3 linked regions of the Struthio camelus genome follow. The protein of the gene in region 1 interacts with the protein of each later gene in a biochemical or structural test. Links are inferred from orthologs where the notes say so. Each region holds a gene or a part of one and is shown on either strand. Other genes may lie near its edges.

The links.
Region 2: the proteins of NOTCH1 (region 1) and NUMB form a complex in vitro, tested with the Homo sapiens proteins (2 studies listed by BioGRID). The link is inferred for Struthio camelus from reciprocal best matches to the Homo sapiens genes NOTCH1 and NUMB.
Region 3: the proteins of NOTCH1 (region 1) and MAML1 form a complex in vitro, tested with the Homo sapiens proteins (2 studies listed by BioGRID). The link is inferred for Struthio camelus from reciprocal best matches to the Homo sapiens genes NOTCH1 and MAML1.

What each region holds. Positions count from the first base shown.
Region 1 is NC_090961.1:3,758,966-3,766,186, forward strand, and holds the start of NOTCH1 (neurogenic locus notch homolog protein 1), read right to left. Parts: upstream 3,006-7,221; 5' UTR 2,825-3,005; coding exon 2,767-2,824; intron 1,238-2,766; coding exon 1,156-1,237; intron 1-1,155. UniProt on the Homo sapiens protein: Functions as a receptor for membrane-bound ligands Jagged-1 (JAG1), Jagged-2 (JAG2) and Delta-1 (DLL1) to regulate cell-fate determination.
Region 2 is NC_090946.1:43,243,240-43,250,622, forward strand, and holds the start of NUMB (protein numb homolog), read left to right. Parts: upstream 1-4,367; 5' UTR 4,368-4,388; intron 4,389-7,383. Other genes in the region: RIOX1 (ribosomal oxygenase 1), read right to left, coding at 1,466-3,235. UniProt on the Homo sapiens protein: Regulates clathrin-mediated receptor endocytosis. Plays a role in the process of neurogenesis.
Region 3 is NC_090954.1:6,930,329-6,937,220, reverse strand, and holds the start of MAML1 (mastermind-like protein 1), read right to left. Parts: upstream 3,017-6,892; 5' UTR 2,892-3,016; coding exon 2,523-2,891; intron 1-2,522. UniProt on the Homo sapiens protein: Acts as a transcriptional coactivator for NOTCH proteins. Has been shown to amplify NOTCH-induced transcription of HES1. Enhances phosphorylation and proteolytic turnover of the NOTCH intracellular domain in the nucleus through interaction with CDK8.

The DNA.
Region 1 (7,221 bases):
CAAAAAAAAGTGGCGTGCATTCATTAGTAGCTCACAAAGGGACCCAGCCTTTGTCCATTAAATTGCTCATGTGCCTGATTGATTTGCTGATTTATTTTCACCAAAGGGTTGGGGGGCTCAGCTTGGAGGAAAGGGGTGGGAGGTGCCCAGCTACTGGGTAGAGTAACGGCGCCCAGGCAGATTTGCAAAAAGCAACACACATTGTCAAGGAAAACTGCCATTCAACAGGTTGGGATTGGAAATGCCTTCAGGTTTCTCCCCAGAGAGAACTTCCTATTTGGAAGTTTGGGGTGGGTGGGAACGTTTCCCTGCCTGCTCTCAGCTTAGGGCACGTTTAACAGGCGGAGGGGAAATCTGGCCGGAAAACAGAGTCTTGCCCATTCAGATCTCTTTTATGGAATAGTTTTAAAAAGGGAGCTGGAGTCTTATTCATTTCTCTCGGTTATTGTTCCCTGGGAGCCTGGAGTGAATCGGCCATCGCTGCGGTGGGTCGGATGGTCCTTCAAAGAGTCCCAACATTTTACACATCCGTTTCCCCACAATCAGCTTGGAGAAAGCTCCTTCATGTGTGCCAGATCCTGCAAGAAGGGCTCGATCCTCAGCTTGGCACCAGCTTCAGCAGAGTTACAGGGAGAAGGTGGCCCTGCTTTCCTGCCTTTCCGATGGCCCACCCAGAGCACAGCCCCAGGCTGCGCCGTGCAAGAAATGACCCCTGAAACGTGTATGGAGATGTCCCGAGAACTGTGCAATGGACTAAGAAATGCTGGGGTGCAAGGGACCAAAAGGCAGCACTTCGAGGTAGAAGGGAGCTGGGCCCGGAGTAACTCGGAGACAGACCACCTCCTTCCCCTTCCCGCCGTCCAACGAGCACCGCAGGCCGGGGCCTCGCTTCTGCTCCATCAGCATCAGCAGGGCAGTCTGGATAAGTAACACCAGCAAAACGTGGCCCTTTGCCCATGTTTTTCCACCCAGCCAGGAACAAAGCCCAATCCTGCCCAACTTGTGGCGACTCCTACACAAGCAGGTTATTCTTGCCACTCAAGGAATGAAAATGCATCTTGCCCTATTAAATCCAGAGCCTTCAAAGCAAAGTCAACATGCACGTCAATACTTCGGTCTAGGGAGATGAAAACCCTCTGGCTCCTCCATACTTACTGGCACACCTCAGTCCCGTTGAGGAAAGTTTCACACTTGCCCCCGTTGAGGCAGGATTCGGCAAGCTGCGTACACCGTAAACCTGCAAAGAGGAGGAGAGCGTTAGCCACAGGGCAGGCACCGGGCAGCACGAGGGGGAGGCTGCTGGGCCCCCTCGCGTCGGGGCTGCCGGGCGCCCCTCGCTCCGCCAGGGCAGGGCGAGCCCGGGAGCGAAGGTGACCTGCCGCCGCCAGCAGCACCCGCCGAAGCCTGGTGGCCACCGTGGTGAAAAGCAGGACCCGGCGGCTGCTCTCCAGGCAGAGCAGGGCTGCAGAGGCAGGCAGCAACCGCGCGGCCCCAGCTCCCAGCAGGGAAAGGCTCGCCTAAAAATAAACTCGTGGTGGGTTTTGAGACTAGGACTCTGCCTTCTCGGTACCCTCCCCAGGGGCCAACAGGAGGACTGACAGAGAAGAAAAAAAACAGGTCAGGCCCTTGAGTGACAAATGCCATTTGGGAAAAAACCATACACCCGAGGGCCCGTGAGTTATCACTAACTCGGTAACGAAATGAGTCGCTCGTCACAACTTACTGTGAGTAAAGGTTTCAATGTCTGGCCCTCAGAGCCAAATTCTGCACAGTTACCACAGCAACTCACTGAAAGTACCAGAATCGCTTCCGATTTCTACCAAAGCTCGCTCTTCCCCTTCTCTTCCTCCGCGAGCATTTCACGGCAACCGGTTCTGTGACACTGCTGCGCAGCCGGAGCACTTTCAGACCGCAGCAATTTCAGCTTCGCACCCCGCCAGCCAAGACCCAAACTTCTCCCCGAAGGGCTGCCGAGCCCCACGCGTCTCCGGCGCGGGGTCCAGCCCGGGTCCCCTCGCGGGGTCTCGCCGGGGGCTGCTCCGACCCCGCACCTTTCCCTGCGGACTGCGCCTCTGCGGGGCCGGGGCCCCCGTCCGGGCCGCCCCGGTGCGGAGCCGGGCGACACCGGCCCCGCTGCTCCCCCTCCCCGGGAGGCTCCCGCAACACCCGGCTCCGGCCGAAGCCCCTCGCCCGGGACCCGGGGACACGGCAGGGCCCCGGGGCTCTCGCCATTTGTAGGGTCCTTGTCCCCGGGCCCGGCGAGCCGTCCCCCAAGGTCCCCCCGCAGTTTGCGGCGAGGCACTCGGAGCCGCCCCGGGTGCTGGGGGCGGCGAAGGGGACCGGCGAGGCAGCCAGGTGACTTTCAAGAAACAGGAAACCGAGCAAAAAAAATTTGCAAAACGGCCGAAAGCTCTCGCGGAACAACAGCGGGGAGCGCTGCTCGGCGCCCCGCGCACCCCCCCGCCCGCCGCGCACCTCCGCCGGGGCGCCCAGCCCGGGTCCCCCCCCCGCCCGGTGCCGCTCCAGCTCCGCTCCCCGCGGGACAACCGAGCGCGGAGCCCCGTCGCGGCGCGTCCGGCCGCGGCTCCCCGCGGGGCGGCAGCCGCTCTCCCGCCGCCGCCGCTCCTCCTCCTCCTCCTCCTCCCGCGCTCGCTGCAAACTTCCTCCCGGCGGAGCCCCGAGCCGCCCCGCGCCGCCGAGCCCCGCCGTGCCGAGCCCGCTCCGGTGGGCGGCAGCGGGGCCCGGCGCGTCCCGGCGGCCCCTCACCTCGCGTCAGGGCGGGCAGCAGCGCCAGCAGGAGACCGGGCACCAGGAGCCGCTGCATCCCTGCTCTCGGGGCTCCTGCCCGCTCACAGCCGCATAGATCCGCGGGGCACCGGCCGGCCGTGCCGAGCCGGGCCGTGCCGAGCCGTGCCCGGTGCGCGCCGCCCCGCCGGGAGCCCCAGACACACCGCGCCCCAGCGCCCAGAGCGCAGCGACTCCAGCGCCCGGCGCCTCCCGCGGCTGCTCTGCCCCGGCGGGCCGGGCCGGGCCGGGCGAGGGAGGGCGGGACGGCGCGGGGCGGGACGGCTCGGCACGGCACGGGACGGCCCGGCCCCGCCCGCGCCCGCCTGGCGGGGAGGGGGGGGGGGGAGTCCTCCCGGGGCAGCCCCCCCCCCCCAATGCAGCCCCCGCACAGCCGCGGGGCGCCCCCAGTGCAGCCCTGCACACCCCCAGTGCAGCCCACCCATGCAGCCCCCCCCCGCAGCCCTTGCACAGCGCCAGTGCAGCTCCCCCCCCCGTCCCCAGCCCCAGTGCAGCCCCCCCATGCAGCCCCTGCACAACACCAGTGCAGCCCCCCCGCCCCGTCCCCAGCCCCAGCGCAGCCCACTCATGCAGCTCCCGTGGAGTCCTCGTGCAGCCCTAGTGCAGCCCCCTAACAGCCCCTACACGCCTCCAGTGCAGCCCCCCACGCACGCCTTGCACAGTCCCAGCGCAGCCCTAGGACACCCCCAGTAGACCTGCCCACCAGCCCCATATAACCCCAGTGCCGCCCGCCCGCACCCCTCGCACAGTCCCGGGGCAGCCCCACGGCAGTCCCTGCACAGGCCCTTGCTCAAGGCTGGTACAGGCCCTGCAGAGCCCCACACATCCTCCCCCAGTTCAGCCCCTCAGCCCACAGCAGCCTGGCACCAGCCGTGGGGCACAGACCCGGCGGGCTGCAGCGCCTGCTCCGTGCGCCGTGCACATGGGGCTGGGGGGGCTCCGCACCCCTGCTTGCTCTGGGGGACCAGGACGGGGCTGAGCATCTCCTCCCGGGGCCCTGGGCCAGGGCGAGCCGGGCACCCCGCAGTGCGGGGTCGGGCTCTCCCAGTGCCCGGGGTGCCCCCTCCGCCCCGGCATCGTGGCTTTCGCCGAGGCAGGTGTTCACAGATACGCCAAGCCACTTCCTAGCAGCCATTAACATACCTGCACGCACGGTTACGCGCACAGCTTGGGGATGATGTTGTTTATTTTGCGCCGTGAACTAATGAACTTGCAGGCAAAGCCTTGGCCAGCCCGACGCGCTGCATCAACAAATAAACAAACAGATGAGCAGAGGCAGGGAAGCCAAACCTCGGAGGCAGCCCCAGCAACCCCCAGGCGCGCGCAGGCTTCCTGCGCGGCCAGCGCCGCGTGCTGGCCCCCGCGGCCTCTCCCCGGCCTCCCCAGACCCCTGCCCGATGGTGGCGGTGCTGGCGGCGGGTCCCCGGGACCTGGTCCCCCGCCGGGCGCCGCGCGCGGGAACGGCACGAGGCGAACGCCCCCGCTGCGGGCGTGCTGGCGGGGCCCGGTTCGTCCCGAGCACCCCAGCGCGGCCCGAGCCGTTCCCGCTCCATCACGGCACTTAACAAATTGAAACCATATTGCCGTTAACTTTAGCAACCCGAGCGCAGACTTAAGCGTTTAAACTCCTGTTTGCATATGTTACCCGAGGGCTACGCTTATAGGGGGGTTTCCTTGCTGGCGGGGCGTTGTACCAGCCGTGGAGCAACACCGGCGGAAACAGCCGGTGTGGGGGTGCTAATGACAACTGCTTCCTCGCGGGGTTACCGCGGGGTCAGCTCGCCGGCTCGCGGCGAGCCTTGCCGGGAGGCCGTTGCCCCGCTGAGCGCCGCAGTGGCCTGTTGGCAATGCCGGGAAAGCTGCCGCGCAGCAGGCGCAAGGGCGGAAAACCCAGGGGCGAGAGCTTGGAGCACAGACAATTTGGGGTGCTAACTCCCACGGGCAACACGGCACCTAAATGCCATGGGGCTCCTGGCTCTCCTTGGACCCTCATCACAGCGGGGGACCCTGGGAAAGGCCATCAGCAGCGCCGTGCGGGAGCCGCCGCCGCCGCCGCCTCCCTCCCCAGGCGAGACGCTGGCAGCTTGCCGCAGGCCCCCAGGTGCGGCAGCGCCCTGGGACCCTGCTGATTAAGCCGTGGCTATTCTGGGCCGTCAAATGGCTCTTTTACAGCTCCCGGTTATACCGTCAAACGCGGGCCGGGGCGGGGGGGCGCGGGGCCAGCTGGCCTGCGTTTGGTGCAAAGCATGGGAAAAAGAAAGAGAAGAGACGGGGCCCGCAAAGGGTTAATGAGAGGGAGGTGACACCGTCATCTGTGTCTCTCATCACAGGGCACCTCTCCCCGCGGCCCGGGGGCTCATCCCGGCCCCTGTCCCGGCCCATGCCAGGCCTGGTGTTATCCCGCTGCTTCCTGTTGTAAATTATTTCCAGAGCAAGTGTGAAACAATTAAACAAACCGAAGGGCAGAGTCTGTTCGCTAGATCAAAGGAACGAGCCCTACAGCGCTATTGCTCTGCCGCCGCGCTTTGCCCTCGCTCTCCTCGCCGCTCGCGCCGGCGCCCGAACGCGGGCCGGGGGCCGGGGCTCCGCGCGGTGCCGCTCCACGCTGGCCGTCCGAGCCGCGCTACGAAACTCGTAAGCGGCGCGGAGACACGCTGCTTGCTGTGCTGCCTCCCTGCAAAGCCGGGGCAAGGGCCGGGCCGTCAGCCGGCCCCACGGAGCCTTTGGAGAGCAAGTAACAGAGGCAACAGGAGCCAAGGGTTTGGCCTCGGCGCCCCTCTAGGCTGGGGGCCGGGGCGTCTCCGCCGGGGCGCAGCCACGAAGCCGGTGCCGGCGGCCGGGCGCTGCCCCGCTCTGCTCGGCCGGCGACGTGCCCGCGTCGCCCTCGCTCTGCAGCGCCGCCGGCTCGGGGCTGCCGCCTCCTGCAGCCCCCGCCGCAGGAGGAAAAACCTGACGCTCCCACCGCTCTGGTTTATTGGGCGATAAAAGATTTCTGCTCCCTTCCCCTCCGTCTTCACCCCTTTCCTTTTGCACGCTGCAGCCCAGCTAGCAGGGAGCATCTCTGCTCTACCCGCCTGGAAATGCCTGCGCTGCCTTTGCCCGGGCTTGTTCCCCGCGCGCAGAAAGCACCGCGCGCTCGGCCTAGCCGCGCTCGGGCGCTTCTTCCCCCGGCTCGAGCGCTGCCCAGGCCCGGCGGGGCCGGCTGTGCCCGCTGCCTGCCCGCCGACGGAGCGGGCCCGAAGCGCGGCGGGATGCTCCGCGCCGTATCGGTGCCCGCGGAGGCAGCGGGAGCCTCGGCCATGGTGCCCTTCCGGGGGAAAAAAAAACCCCTCTCTGGTCTCTCCAGGTGCTGCGGGGGGGCACGAGCGTCTCGGCACGAGGATGACGCCTCCCGCGAGCCGGCGCCGCCGCGGGAGCCCTTTTCCAAGGGGCCTATCTGCCGGTGGGCGCGTCTTCGCGGGGACCCTTCCTTCTTCCACACCCGCCCCGCACATGCTGCTGCCGCCAGCTCAAAGGCAAAAGAAAAAAAAGGAGCGGGAAGCAAAAGGCAGCGGACAGCATAAATCTTTTTTCAATAAGCGGTAAATAGGACATAACTCCAGAGAAACTTTTCATTTTGAGTGGTCTTTGGGGGTTAAAAATCATGGGATTTTAGGTACTTTTAAAAATAGCGTTCGTAAGAACGCTTCTAATAGAAACCTTGGCACACGTCCATGTGATTAGTGATTTAAAAACATAAAACCTCCACACATGTTTAAAAGTTTTAATAAGTTGAAATTAAATGAGTGAAACTCTGGGAATATTTTTTTGTTACTGCAAGCTAAGAAAATTATGTCCGTTAAGCAAAACTTAGTACAAATATAAACAGGTAATGCACATCTGTAAATTATTTTCATGTCTCCAGGGGCTGGAAAAAAACCTAAGTGAGACCAGCATTCTTATATATATTTTGCCTTGACAGCTCAGGAAAAAATTTGCCAAAAACCAGAGTTAGAGCACTGGGCTGGCGTGGGAAAGTTGGTTTAGTGAGAAATTTGCCCCAGGCTATTTAAATAAAAACAGGCGTTTTTTTTTAATGGCAAATGCCTGTTAAAGGCAAGCCGCGCAGCTTCCAATCGCCTGAGTAACGCGCGTTGCCCACTTCTTCGTGACACTTTCATCCCTTGATCGTCGCAATCAATGTTTTGCTCTTCTGCATTCGGGGCAATACGAGTAAGGCAGGCGTCGCAGCGGGTGCCCCGGCGAGGAGCTCAGCTCGCCGCTCCTCTGCCTGCCCGTTTTGGAACCGCGAGCAGCGCTGAGGTTTCGCCCTCTTCCTGATGATGCACGCTCGCACAAACACACGCGCACACACAAAAAAAGCACGTTCAGTAATTAAACATGAATCAAAGTGGGTAGCTCATCCTGGAAAGTCTG
Region 2 (7,383 bases), on another chromosome or scaffold:
GCCTAGGAACTACATGAGGTTCAATCTGGTACTCTTACGCCAGGGCATGGCCAGGCATAAGGTCACAGTATTTACCATCTCGGAGAAAATATCTAAGCTTGGGGGTGGGGAGGGAAGCACATGAAAACTAACAGGCATTTAAAGTTTTCCACAGAGCATTAGGTACATCTGATTAGGTATAGAAGAAACATAAATCGCACTCATTGTAACTTTTCTATATGCCACAATAACTTAGCTGCCTCACAGGAAGCATCATTTCTTTCTTAGCAAAGGAATTCCAGGGAAGTGGGGGACACCTTCCACAAAAAGCGTCAGCAAATTTATCAGGTGCTTTCACATCTGAAGATTTAAATTAACTTGCAAGACTTTGAACTATTGAGGTAAATAATCTCACCTAGGCTTCTCCCATGACACGTCAGAGTGAAACAAACGTGCTGTGACTTGTATGGCCCAAACAATAGTTTATTTATTTGCACCAAATATAATTTTTCAATTAAGAGAGAGGACTTACTGTCACACTCACCTGCCAATGTATTTGATCCAGATTTTCAGGCTAAGCCAAAAGGACTTGGTGACCCAGAAACTACTGAAACTTGAAGAGGTTACGGACTGGCTGCGGCAAAAGGCCAATCGAATCTGTTGGAGCAGGGAGGACCTTGACTCTGAATGCGAAGACATCCTGGAGAGGATCACTGCTGTTTTTCAGTCCACTCCTGGTAATTCTAATACAAAAGTTTTAGAGCTATTTCTCATCTGAACTACGCCAGTACAGAAGAAAACATCCCTTGGTTTTCTGAGCTCCCTCTGCAGCGAGAGGAGGCACTACTAGTCAGTCAGTAGCTCCCTAACAGGCACAGCAAAATTATGTAAGGTTCATGCATTCAGATTCATGAAAGCCAAATTCTGAAGTAGCATATGAAGGTCAAGGGAGAACTTATCTTCTGTGCAGAAAGCCTTCACCACCCTCCATCCCAGCTGCCTTTCCAAACCCCTAACCCTGACACAAGGAAAAACAAACTGTTAGAGAATGCCCTATTCTAATTCAGTCCAGCTAGCCCAAATTTCGGCATGGCTCCTAGGTGACCATCCGCAAATATGTCTTTAAGTAATGAGAGTACTTCCCACAGTAACACAGGCTGCTTTAAAACAGTGTAAGCACCCAGCTGATCTGCAGACTGCAAAAAAGTTCACTAGCTTCCTGAAGTTACCTAGGATGCAGTAATATGGTTGGCAAAAACAAATTAAGCACCCGTCTTCTCTAGTCACTTAACCGTGCACAGTTCAACAGAAGACACTTTTTTAATGAGAACAATGTTTGATTTGTCTACCCAGGTCAAAGCCCTTCTACCCTCAGATCAGAAACGGAGATCCAAAGCGCTGATTCACACTCAGCAGCAGACGTAAGGTAAGAGCAGGAGACAATACTTTATAAACAACTCTATGTTTATTTTGTTCAAGAATAGAGCTACACTTGCACCAGAGGCTTCTTAGTAGTCAGAATGCCCTTCTCAAACAGGAGTGTGGCTACAGAAATCTTGTCCTCCAAGGTTTCACATGGAAGGGTATCCACACTGACATGGTTTGGATAAGAAGACAGGAGAAATTCAATACTGTCTGTATACTCGGGATCTATCTCAAGGGACTTGCACTCTTCTTTATGATACACTCGTGAGTTTTCTGTCGTGTAATACAGCATCACACCAGCTTCCTCATTGCACAGTCTAATGATGCCATGCCGGAGGAGGCGTACTTCTGTGTCTTTCGTTATTAGTATATCGACGTCGCGGGTGCCTCCATCTTGCCACCGGGCTGGAAATCCATACACGCTCAGCGCCTTTTCATTTTGTGTTAGCACCGGGGGGAGACAGTCGTGAAGAAATGACTTGGCTCTCTGATCCACGGCAGCATCAATAGGCGCATAGTCGATAAGTTTCTTTATCAGACTCTGCACCTTCTCCACAAAAGCTGTTCGGCGAGCATCGACTACGTCCGAGTTGGCGACCCCCATGTATCCCAGGTAGTCCATGGGAAGCCCTTGCCGGTACTCCACGTCCTCCTCCAGGGCCATCTGCAGAGCAGCCGGGAGGAGCTTCTCCAGGAGGTCGCCCCAGGAGTTCCTCTGGTAGGACGACACCGTGATGTGGAGCGAGTGCGCATCAGGAAGACAGTCACCCTGGTGGATAAACCCCCGGGGGAAGTACAGCAGGTCCCCGGCCTCCAGCACCGCCTCCAGAACGGGCTCGCCGAGTTCAGCCTGTGTGAGGTTTGCGCTGGAGAACTGGGGCAGCACCTCGGCTCCCGTCCGGGGGCCGTAAACGCGCCAGTGCTTCTTCCCCTCCAGCTGCAGCACGAAGGCCTCGATGTCGTCGTAGTGGGGGGCAAAGCCCTGCGTGCCCGGCGGCGTGAGGTAGGTGTTGGCGCCCGCCATGCTCCCGAAGTGCTCCTGCAGGATGGAGAGGAACTGCCAGACGGTGGTGGAGAAGGCCTGGGGGCAGAGGAGCCGCAGGGAGCACCCGTTCTGGTAGAAATCCCAGACGACGGCGGGCAGGGCCCGGCCGGCGGGGTTGTGGGTCTCCCGCACGCCCTCGGCGTAGCTGGTCACGTCCAGGTGGGTGCCGAAGCGCACCTCGCCGCTCCGCAGCGCGGCGTCCAGCTCGGCCGTGGAGAACAGCCCCGCGTAGTAGCCGGGCTCGCCGCGCCGCACCAGCAGCGGCGCCCGCTCCCAGCGCCGCGCCACGAACTCCCGCGGCGACACCGGCGCCAGCAGCCACCGGAACAGCTCGGCCGCCCGCTGCCGGCTGTCCTCCAGCCGCCCCAGCCGCGCCAGCAGCCCCGCCACGCCGCCGCCGCCCTCCGCCGCCGCGGGGCCGGCCGGGGCTGGGCCCGGCCCCGGGCCCGGCGCGGGGCTCTCGGCCGGCGGGCCGCCCGGGCCCGGCGTGGGGCCGCCCGGGCCCGGCGTGGGGCCGCCCCGCCGCTTCCCCGCGGGGCTCTCGGCCGCCGCCTGGGCCCGCTGCAGGCGGCGGGCGGCGGCGGGGGGTGACGGCGCCTTGGCCGCCGCCTCCGCGCCTTGGCCGCCGCTTCCCGCCGCGCCGCGCCTTGGCCGCGCCTTGGCCCGCTTGCTGCGGGCGGGCAGCGGCCGCCCGCCGCGCCGCTCCAGCCGCCCGGCCCCCGCCGCCCGCCGGTACACCGAGAGCGCCGACACCCGGCGCCGCTCCTCCGCGCCGCCCGCCGCCATGGCCGCGCCGCTCCGCCCCCGCCGCCGCCGCTTCCGCCGGGGCTGCCGGCCACGCGGGGGCTGCCCGGCCGTGCGTGGGCCCGGCGAGGGTACGTCCGTGCCTAAGGCACAAAGCAGAGACTAAAAGTGGTTTTTTTTTTTGTTTTGTCCTGCCTTCTTGGCCCACAGACAGCGTTTGGGTATAAAGGAACCACCTGATCTCCCCAGGGCGTCTGGCCGGACAAAAACTTTCCCCGCCCCCCTTTTCTTTTCCCGCGCGCGGAATTTCACGTGCCCGCAGCGCTGGGGGCGCGCCCCGCCCCACGCCGGGCCGCCCAGGCGGGGGGCTCCCGGGGAGGTGAGCGCCTCGGCCTTTATGGGGACAGCTGCCTGCCTGCCCGAGGAAGGACTTCACCGGGAAGTGTGCTTGTGCTGCTTTATAAAATTTAATATCTTACATTTTCTCATAACATCTGCTTAAAACGTGAAGCTTATTTGTGCCCCCACTAAGAAGGGAAAGGTAAGGCAAGTGCCGGAGGAACCTGACTCGCGTGGGCGTGTGTTCCCTGGCTGCAATGCTGCTTTCCATAGATGCGCTATAAGCATCTCTAGAAAAGATTTTCCAAAAGGTGTATCATAAAGATATTGTTTTGGACGATATGCAATTACTTTACACTCTAATAGGGTCAGATGAGGTCAGACTACTTCATAAGGCTCTGCTACACAAGGAACAGAAATCAAAGTTGGATGGGGTCTAATTCTGGTTTGTCTTCCCTCCTCCTCCCCCTTTCTTGTGTTTGTAATGCAGATGCCAGGTGAAAGGCTACATCCTCTTGAAGGATCTGCAGAACCAAAACGCTGTCAGGTCATACCGTGGTTTTTTGCCAAATCCTTTAACTGCGTAATACTCTGCACACACCTTTGTCTGTGCTCTCCCCATCTCTCTCCTAGACCTGAAGCTTCCCGGCGCAGCGCTGTCGGCGGCCTTGGAGGTGCTCTGGCAGCCGGAGGGCTCTCGGCCGGCCGTTTCAGACGCTGCAGGTTCGGCAAAGGAGGCTACCGCAGCGCAGAGGGCAGGTGACGTAACCAGCGAGATTCAACTCGTGGAAAACGTGGAGAGCTGTAAGGATTGTCGTTGTCGTGCTAGGCTGACGTTCTTCTGCTCAAGAACAAGGTGCCATACTTTTGTGAGGAAAAATCTTTGATGGAGTCAGATAATTTATGAGAACAGATTTTGCGTAAGAATTTTGGCTCCTCCTGTTAGCCTAAAGCATTTAACTGGAGCAATTTAGCCAAGTGTGCTCAGCAGCATTCTGGCTTACAAGGGTGTTATCAGCATCTCACAGAGGAACGTATCAGCGTCACACCATATGTTAAATAAGCAGCTAACGTTCACAAGGCATGCTCAGGTCTGCTGTGTGCGCCACTTAGCATAACAGGCCCAGGACACACAGCCAAAGAGTGAATTTTGACCTTTTTTAACTTCAGCATTGTCAGGATTTCAACTCAGGTCTGTATTTAATTTTTCACAGAGTTCAAGAGCATTCATAGCAGAAATCATTAGTTAGGCCATAAATAAGGATGAGTTCAGCTCTTAAGTCTAATTCTGGAACAGATTCAGACATCTTAATGGTTTAAGATTTTTTGGTTTGTCTAAAAAAACCCCAAATCAGCCTCTCGTTTAAACAGTGTTGACGGGGTGCACTTGCCAGCAGGGGTGCACTGGCACTTTTATTTGCAGCTCCTGGTTTGTGTCCACACTTAAGATGATGAGCCCTAGTTTGGAGGTCGTTGTTCCTCGGGGGGGGGGGGGGGGGGGGGGAGAGCACTGTCCCGCATGTGCTACAAACGTACAATGGGAAAATGTCTGCAAGTTGTGCTTTACATTGGTATGTGAAGAAGTAAAACGTTAGGAGTTTCAGCTTCTGTTTTGATACAACAGGCCCAATTCTGTCTCAGCAAAGCCAGGTGATGTAAACTAGGACTTCCTGTCCCATTGAAAATAAACTCTGATACATCTCCATTGGTTGAAACGCACATCTCGGCCAACACTTGTGTACATGATACAGATTGCGTAACTGTAACGTGTCTGTGGCTAGTCCCAAACCATGTTACTTGGCCATGATACTGCTGCTTGCTCAATCCTGCCTTTTCAGAATGCTGCTATACTTTTAATCTTAAGTGATTTCAGATGTGCACCCAAATTTATTTGGAAATATCATAGATATCTTAAAGGAATCTAAATCATCTATGAGAAGTAAAAAGATACATACCAGCTGGTGAGAATTCAGTGGAAGCCAGGTTCCTCTAATAAACCATTATAAAGCTGGTTTTGAAAAAACATAGATTTGGGAGGTGAGAAAGCTTTTCTTTGCTTCCGCATCTCATCAGCGTGTTAGAAGTGGCCGAGACAGATGTTGTATGAATGCAATGCAACTATTTTCATTTCGGGTGTGTTTTTTCTCTGTACTTTTTCTGCTGGTGCAGCCTTTAGAACAAAAGCTGTTACACCTGTGTGGGAAGAGCAACAACAGCAGAAAGCTGTTCTGTTGAACTGCAGTGGTTTAGGTGAAAGAGTCCAATTTGTGTGCATAGACGGTATTTTGGCCTTGGGTTTCTTGAACGTGTCACGCTTCGCCAGTAGGGGGCAGATACAGAACAGTGGTTGAATGAAAACAGCACATTTACTGGTACTTGGTATTGTGCTAGGAAAGACTTCCTAAAAATATCAGAACGTGAATATAGACTTTGCTTAGCAAGATTACTGGTTTGGATGGCTTAAAATGTGAGGAAAGCGAAAGCTGTCTGTGTGTGCATGTGTATGCCCGAAGAGAAGGAAGGGTGAACTCCGTATTTCAAATCATTCTTTGTTTTCCAAGGTTAAGCCCTGCGTACCGGAATAATCTTATCACTTGAAACTGTTTCAGCAGAACTGGGCCCTTAACAAAACCAAGATGCAAACTCTTTGAAATATGGTAGAAGCTAGACTATTGTGTGCTGTAATTATATGTAAGCCTGGCTAAATAGGCTTTGGCGGGGGAATGACATTTGAAAAATCTGGCCTTCTGAGTTACTGCTTAATTTACTCTAGTGCAATTGATTCTTCTCTGGCACTGAACACTTTATGTAAAGTCTGATCTGAGTTACACCAGAATAACTTTAATGATTACAGCAAAGTTGCTCTGGATGTTTACCAGTACAGTGAGCTCAAAGTCTCATTGTAGGGCTCTGATCTTAACATGAATGCCACTTTCTACCACTGCAAGATGATAGACATTGGATTTGTTGATATATAACAAAGTCTGAAAGTGAAGGACATGGTGAAAAATAATGGTGGTGAAATCTCTCTAATAATAACATGTTTCTTGTGACAGTTTAGCCTTTCTCATATTAAAGGCTTTCAAGAATAAAGAAGAATTTTTGCTTTTTTTTTCTGTGCAGCACATGAAAGGATTTTGACCTAAGGCAGAAAGAGAGAGCTTCAATATCACTTTCAGAGTACTTAGATGGTTGTCTGGGAGTAGCCAAAAGCTCTACATGCTATTTTCATTCACTGCCCAATATTTCAAGGAAATTTCTCATAAGGGAAGAACAGTGTCACAAAGAACTCTTTAAATAAACAAAAGGAAAGTAGCACAGATCTCTTAATGATTAGGTGGTCCCCAGCTGCTGCTCACATAGACATAGTAGCAACTCGAGGCTCAATTAAACTTCTTAATTAGAATTTAGCACAAAATTACTCAGATTTTATGAGCGCATAAGCTTCATTGCCAAGAGCTACACACATTTTATTGAAGAGGACACAAAAAAGGTAGTGAGTACAACTTACTAAGGAGCCGCAAATGACTTCTGAAGAAAGATGTAAACAGCACCTCCAAGAGATGTAGTGTTTATTTGATAGTTTGACCTTATTCCATTAACTGCTCAAAGAATTGAAGTCCTGAGTTTAAAGAGCAGTTCAGACAAGGCCTGATCCTGCAAAGGTATTAGCAGTCTTCACCAACCAGTGGAAAGAATAAAATTCTTTGCAGGATTGAGCCTGTGTCACATTTTTCACTTCTCTGTGCATTGGATACGCAATTGTTCTGCATAATGCAAATTGTCCAGCACATTCTCTTTGTTCCTGGCAAACCATTAATGTAAATCAGTCACTTTTTGAAAGTTAAGCT
Region 3 (6,892 bases), on another chromosome or scaffold:
TGAAAAATCATATAACATGCTATAAAGGAAGCGGTGGTGCTCATCCTGTTCCCCCAGCTAGTCTGAAGCTGCCAAGTAGAGCAACAGGGAGTGCATACACTGGGCACTGTATGACACTTGCTGCAAGTGTAGCTTCAGGTCCTTCCGCTGCAAGCCATCAGATGCTAGATCATTTGGCAGCTCACATATCTTTATTTACACAAACTGCTTTCTCTCTGAAAGACCAAAATAAGTGCTTCGTTAGCGTCCAATACAGAGCACTAGTTTCTAAGAGAAGATTCACATGGAGCTTTATGGAAAACTCCTGATCATAACAGCAGCAATAGTGCTGTTATAATAGGACTATTGATACAATGCAAGTTTAATTGTCCCAGTAGCATTCTTTTGAAAGGAATGTGCCCAGGATATTTTAAAAACAAGATAATTTTGGTGGTAATCCAGAAGTTTACTGAACACTGTAAACCATATCCACGTCCTTCCCCTACACACAGCAGCACATGCTTAGTCTTGACAACAGTTACATGATTGCTAGTGGTAAAACATCAACTTCTGGGTTAGAGAGGAACCCTTTATCCTAAAGGAATGAAATTAGCAGCAGAGGTTTGTTGTCGTTGTGCTATTTTTTTTTTTCCAAACTTGAATTACCAACTTTATACCCTAGTAACGAGATGATGAATCAGCAACTGCAATTAAGCTTACAGTCATGTATCCTAGGAAGGAAACAGCAGGCCAGCACGAGGAAGAGTCATTCATACACTAAAATCCTCTTCTGTTGTGTAAATTGGCCACTGGCAGCAGCTTCCTGCACAAGAAGGGCTTCCCCAGATGTGCACTGTATTTCAAAACCACACTGCTGCTGAGAGTCCTCATTATAATGGATGCTAATGAGATCAAATCCACATCCAAAGCAATTTGGAAGAAATGCCACCAATGAATCAGAGATATCTTTCTTTTAGAGAATCAATCAATTTGAAGCAGCATGGTGGCAGTTTAACGTGTCAAATCCTGTTGCTTAAAGAACTCTGTGTGTGTATAACAAAAATACACATTATTAATGGTTAGAGCCCCATACACAAAAAAAAACTCAGAGCCCAGAAAGGAAGCAAACAGAAATTCCATCAAGTCTTCGGGTAACAAAACATGAGTTTGAGTCATCTGAGTTCTGACACAATTTACACTCAAGATCGGCCTACCAAACAACAGGTACCCAGAAAGCATTACAGAATCACTGTACGCTCTTCCTCCGAGACTTTTCTTTCTCTATTGTATGAGCGCTATAACGATATCACAAGGATTCCAGTCTTCAGAAAAGCCTGCATGTCCTAGATTCTCATAGGTATGTTACCAACAGAAGCAATTCGGCCAAACACTTTCATTTCACATTGCATATATTACAAACCACGCACATGCTTGTCTAGCGCTAGTTACGTTAAAGCTGACATCAGCGTGCCCCACATCATGTACAGTACAAGCACACAGTAAGTGCTACTGTGATACTATTTTAAAGTCTGCAGCCAAGTGAGATCCAAGACAGTAGAGAATCACAGCCTCCCTTCTTCTGTTCCAATTTGATCATGCTCAAAAACTCAAAACACATAGGCCATCTTAAAAACATGATTTAACGTATATGTTAACTTGAAAACGTATCATATTAATGCCAGCACCACGTTTTCAAGGCGTTCAAAACAGCAGCATTGTATCATTTTCAGGCAGGTCACCATGCAGAAATACCTGCTTTCGTGAAAGAAAGCGGGCAACCTCTGTGAGGTTATCCTACTAACCTACATTACCGACACATTAGTATAGCCTAGTACCTTTAAAGGGCACAGAGTAAGTTAAGCAATAGGCAATAGCTATCTTAATATACAAACACAGCTGTATGAATATATCCTGACAACTAGAAATGCTAGAGAAGCCAGAGAAACATGAAGACTTTGGGTTAAGCCAGTTTTTTAATGGGTGGAGTGGGATTCCCGTAGTGTTCACACCCACTACGGAGCGGCAAATAAGCAGCTGCCCTTCCAATACCATTCCACTAAAATTCTTTCCAGTATGCAGCAGAATTAGTGGAGACATTATCCAAAATATATGTATCAGTAAAAAAAAAAAAAAAAAAGTGTCCTCATGCAGCGATCCCGCTAAACTCCCACAGCCTAAACTAAGGCACAAACAAAACAAACAAAAATCCCATAGGCCTCGCAGTACTAGTGTTCCCCTGACAGTTCCTCCAGAGACAATTTCGGTGAAATAGCCAGAACCACAACTCAGCAGGCTGCACAGAAAGCCGCTCGGAACGGCCCTAACAGTGGCAAAAAGAGGCATGCAAGTTCTTTCCCCCCCCCCCCCGCTTCCTCCTCATCAGACCGTTTTCTGCGCACTCTTCCAGCGCGCAGAGATGACAGGAGGGAAAATAAAGCAGCCCGTGCCGGCTGCTAAGCGGCACCCGCGCAGGCACGGCCGCTCGGCCCGGCCGGCCCCGGCCCCGGCCCGCCCGCCCGCCGCCTCCCCCGGCCCCGGCTTACCGCGATGAGCGTGCTGCTGCGGCCGTGCTGCTCGCCGCCCGCCGCCTCGGCGTCCAGCCCGTTGGCCCCGCTCCTCTCGGCGCTGCCGGCGGCGGCGGGCGGCGGAGGGGGCGCGGGCGGCGGCAGCGGCGGCGGGGGAGGCTGCCGGTGCTTGCCGGCCCGCTTGGCCTTGGCCTGCAGGCAGCGCTGGTGCAGGGCGAAGGTTTGCTGGCGCTCCAGCTCCAGGCGCTCCGGCGATACGGCCTGGTAGCGGGACTCGCAGGCGCTGTGGTGCCGCCGGCAGAGCTCGATGCGCCGGCGGAGCCGCTCCATCACCGCGCTGTGCCGCGGCACCACGAACTCCGCCATGGGGCAAGGGGGCAGCACCATGGACCGGAGCGCAAGGGGGGGGGGGTGGTGTGGGGGGAGGCCGCCGCTGCCGCCGCTCACCGGCTCCTCACGCCGCCCCCCGCCATGGCGGGGGCGCCGCGCAGGGCGGGCGCGGGGCTCCCCCCCTCGGGCCTTGCCCGGCCTCGCCGCCCGCCCCCTTCGCCGCCGGCCTTACCTGGGCTCGCCCGCCCGCCCGCCCGCCCACCGCGCCCCCGCCCCGGCCCCGGCCCCGACGCCGGCCCGCTCCCCGCGGCGTCCCCCCCGCCCCACTTCCTCCTTCTCCCCCGAGGCCGGTGCGGCGGCGCCGCTCCCCCTCCGCCGGCGCTGCGCTGCGCAGCGGCCGTTGCCCGCTCGCCCTCCGGCCCGGCCGCGGCCCGCTCCGCTGCCCCGGGCGCGGCGGGGCCCGGCGGCCGCTGCTCTCAGGCGCGGGCCGGCCCGAACCCCCGACTCCCCATTGTTATCCGCGCCGCCGCCATCTTGAAATTGTTTTTCCCCTCAAGAGCCGAGTTGAGAATAAATAGGCGGAGCTTCCTGGGTGGCGGGCGACGTCACGCTCGCGTCGCGCGTCACGAGCGCTGAGGGACATCGCCGCCAGCCAATGGGAGGGCGGGGGGGAGCGCGGAGGCGTGGGCGGGCAAGGCGGCCGGCAGGACGCGGCCGACGGCGCGTTTAAAAGGCAGGGGCCGGGAAGCGGCGGGGGCGGGGCTTGGAGAGAGGCCAATGGCGCGCGCCGTGGGCGGGGCCTGAGGAGTGAGTGACGGGCGCTCCCCCCCCCCCGGCCGGGCGCCCCCTCGCCCGGACAGAGCGGGGCAGCGACGCCCTCCCCGCGCCCCTGCCCCGAGCAGGCAGCTGTAACCTCTCTCTCTTTCCCTCCCCCCCTTTTCTTCAGGGCTTGTGGACAGCTGGGTCCCAATCACAACTTGTTCCCGTCAAAAAAAACCAACAAACGCGATCAAGACTTAAGCCCCTTCAAGCTAATTAGACGAGGCAGCCAAAGCGATTTCAGTTTCTTTATTGATTAATTTTACATTATAATTTATTCAGGTTTTAATATATGCATACTGCATCTACAGTGACCTTTTTGAAATGGACAGGTCTTTTGCACAGAAGAAGTCACAGTCCTTGTTTACGAACACCAAGGTTTTTTCATTGCTTTTTTTTTTTTTTTTTTGAAACCTTGAGGCAATATTGGCAACTACAGATTAACGAGGAAAGGCTTGAGGATGCGGAGACTCCTGGCAACAGCCCTGCCTGTGCCACCACCAGGTAAGGGGAGCGCTGCTTTGGCAGAAGGAGAACAGAAAGCGAGGGACAACCACAACCCCAGACCCCTCCACGAGCACTTGGCTCCTGCGAGGATCCCAACCCGACACAGACAGTCTCAGCACATTGTACAGCCCACATTCTCGAGCTGTGATAATTCAGCATTATCAGAGCTGCAAGGACAGCTCCTATTTGGTTATATTTCTAGAGCAGGTTAGTAGGCACCAACTCCCTTCACTGAGCACCAGGTTCCAGGACAAAAAAAAAAGAAAAAAAAAGAAAAGGCTTCAGCATTTCTAGTATCCTGTATTCCAGATATCTAACTGCCCATAAGCACACTTGATGTTTGTTCCTTCTTGATTAATCTCAGCCTAAAACCCCTCCCTCACCCCAGACACAGCAAGTTCAACTTCTGGGAGTTCATGCTCTCCAGCAGCTGCAGCCCTCACACACACACGCGCACCCCCCCACACAGTCAAATACACCTTCGCATACTTGAAGGTGTTTCAAACCTAGCTCACAGGTAGCAACCAAGCAGAGCTGCAGTACTTGGAAAACGCTGCCATGCTTTACAGGCATTCTTTATTCTGAATAAAGAGATAGCTACTTTTGCTCCAAGGAATTAAAAAAAAAAAAAGGCGATTCTAATGTTAAATTGAGCCACCCAAGTGAGAATGCAGGATAAAAAGTAACCTTTAAGTTGTCTATCCACTTTGGAAAGTCTTCATTTATTGTAGTGATTACTCAAGAAGCATACACTAAGGTATCAAAAAATGCATAACATGCAGACAGGAGACCTTTTCAGAAAATCTAGCACAAGCAAACGTAGGTGTACATAGTTAGCTTTACTATAATACTACTCAAAAAGCTGAGAGCAGATCTTAAGTTCATTTTTGATGCTTTGAAAGGAACATGTACGCACAAGAACTGTCCAGGAATTTAAGGCAATTTGCATATTAAGATAAAAAACACTGATTAGATTAACAGATTTATGTTGTGCTCAGAATTGTTAGCTGACTTGAAACCATTCACATATACTCCATCTCCAAGGACTGAGAGTCATAAATAGCAGCTGCTCCTTGATAAAAATACAGTCCTGAGAACAAGCTAGTAGCAATGCTTAAGCTATGACATCTTCCATGTCAGAGTATAAGCTATTTTGGCAAAAAGGAGCAGTATTTACCAGGTGTTCAACAGGCAAAAGGCATTCTAAACATGCAATAGCTCCCAACAGAAGTCTGAAATTACTTCCAGTATCTTGCTTACAATAGTTTATTTGCACACTGCAGAAAGAGCAAGAAATCCTGTTATGCATTTGTGGTGTCTAGTATTTCCAACACAACAAGTAAAGGATACAACATGAGGACAGGCAGCAAAAGGTGTTTCACAAAAAAAAAAACCCAAAAAACAAATCTTTTAGTAACTGGTTAGTCTGCAAGGTAATCAGAACACTTTCCTCCCCCACCCCCGGGAGTTATTCCCCACACAATACCTATGACCTAGCCCAAACAACACTGGAGTGTTTATATTCAGTGCAAGAAGAGTAATTTTAGGACATTTAATTCACTCTAAACAAAGGCAAAAAAAGCTTTCTATATGGACATCCAAACTCCAGCATATTTGGTACAGTGTAATGAAGCTACACAGATTCCACCCTCAGAGGTATGCTCTTGTAGTGATCACCTGCATTCCACAAAAAAAGTGTTTGAAACAGTATAATATTGTAGACTCAACACTTAAAAATTTATTCAGCTGGAATTGGAACTCCCTAACATTCACAATATAATTTAGGATGCGTTTGTTACATGAATAGCAGATAAAAAGACTCAAACAGTTTCACATACCAGGTAAGATATTCCACATGCTCCTTCCCCACCTACAAATACTGACATCTTGTTTGTGTTTGATTTTTCTTAGAAATTCAGTTCAACTTGCCTACCTGACCACCTCTCCTGTTTCTACAGGAGCAGACACACAGTGATAGCAGTGAGAGGATATGGGACACTGTCCTATCCAGTGTTCGGACCCTGGAAAGGAGTAGGCCTAGCTATGGAAAGTCTAACAAGGAGCTGAACATGACATACTTCTCAGCAATTGAGGCAAAGCTGCACTCGGAAAAAGCTGCACAGTCACAAAGAAAGGAGAGCAGTGGCTGAACAGAGGGGAAAAGGAAAAATAGTCTAAATACCCCCAATAACCCTTCAGCTTTATGGGAAGAGTTCAAGGACTAACAAAATCCAATTTCTGCAGGATTACACGCCACATTAAGATGACCTATTCCCCTATTCCAAATCCTAGATCATTCGTCAACACTTAAGTGGGCTTTAACCAGGACAATGCTCATAGTCCCTAAGACTGTCTAACTCCTTCCTTCCACCCCTTCTTTTTCCCCCCCCTCCCCCCCAAGAACAGAGTTGATTACAAACTTTACCTGCTAGTTTTCCCTCACGCATCCCACCCTGCTCCCAGTTTTTTTCCTTTGAGGGGAAAAGGGGTTGTCAGGTATATTGACAACTTTTCTTTAACCATAATTATCAAACTTTAAGGGATATAAAGACACTGGTGCATTTAGGAATTTACATGTTTGTAAAAAAAACTAGTTATAAAACTGCACTTTTAACATCTAGCATTTTTCAAGATTTTCATCATTATTTTTCACTAGTTTAATATATTAAATTAAGCCATGGTTTGAGACTGGCAAAATTCTACCAATCTACTTAAAAACAAAAAAAGTATTT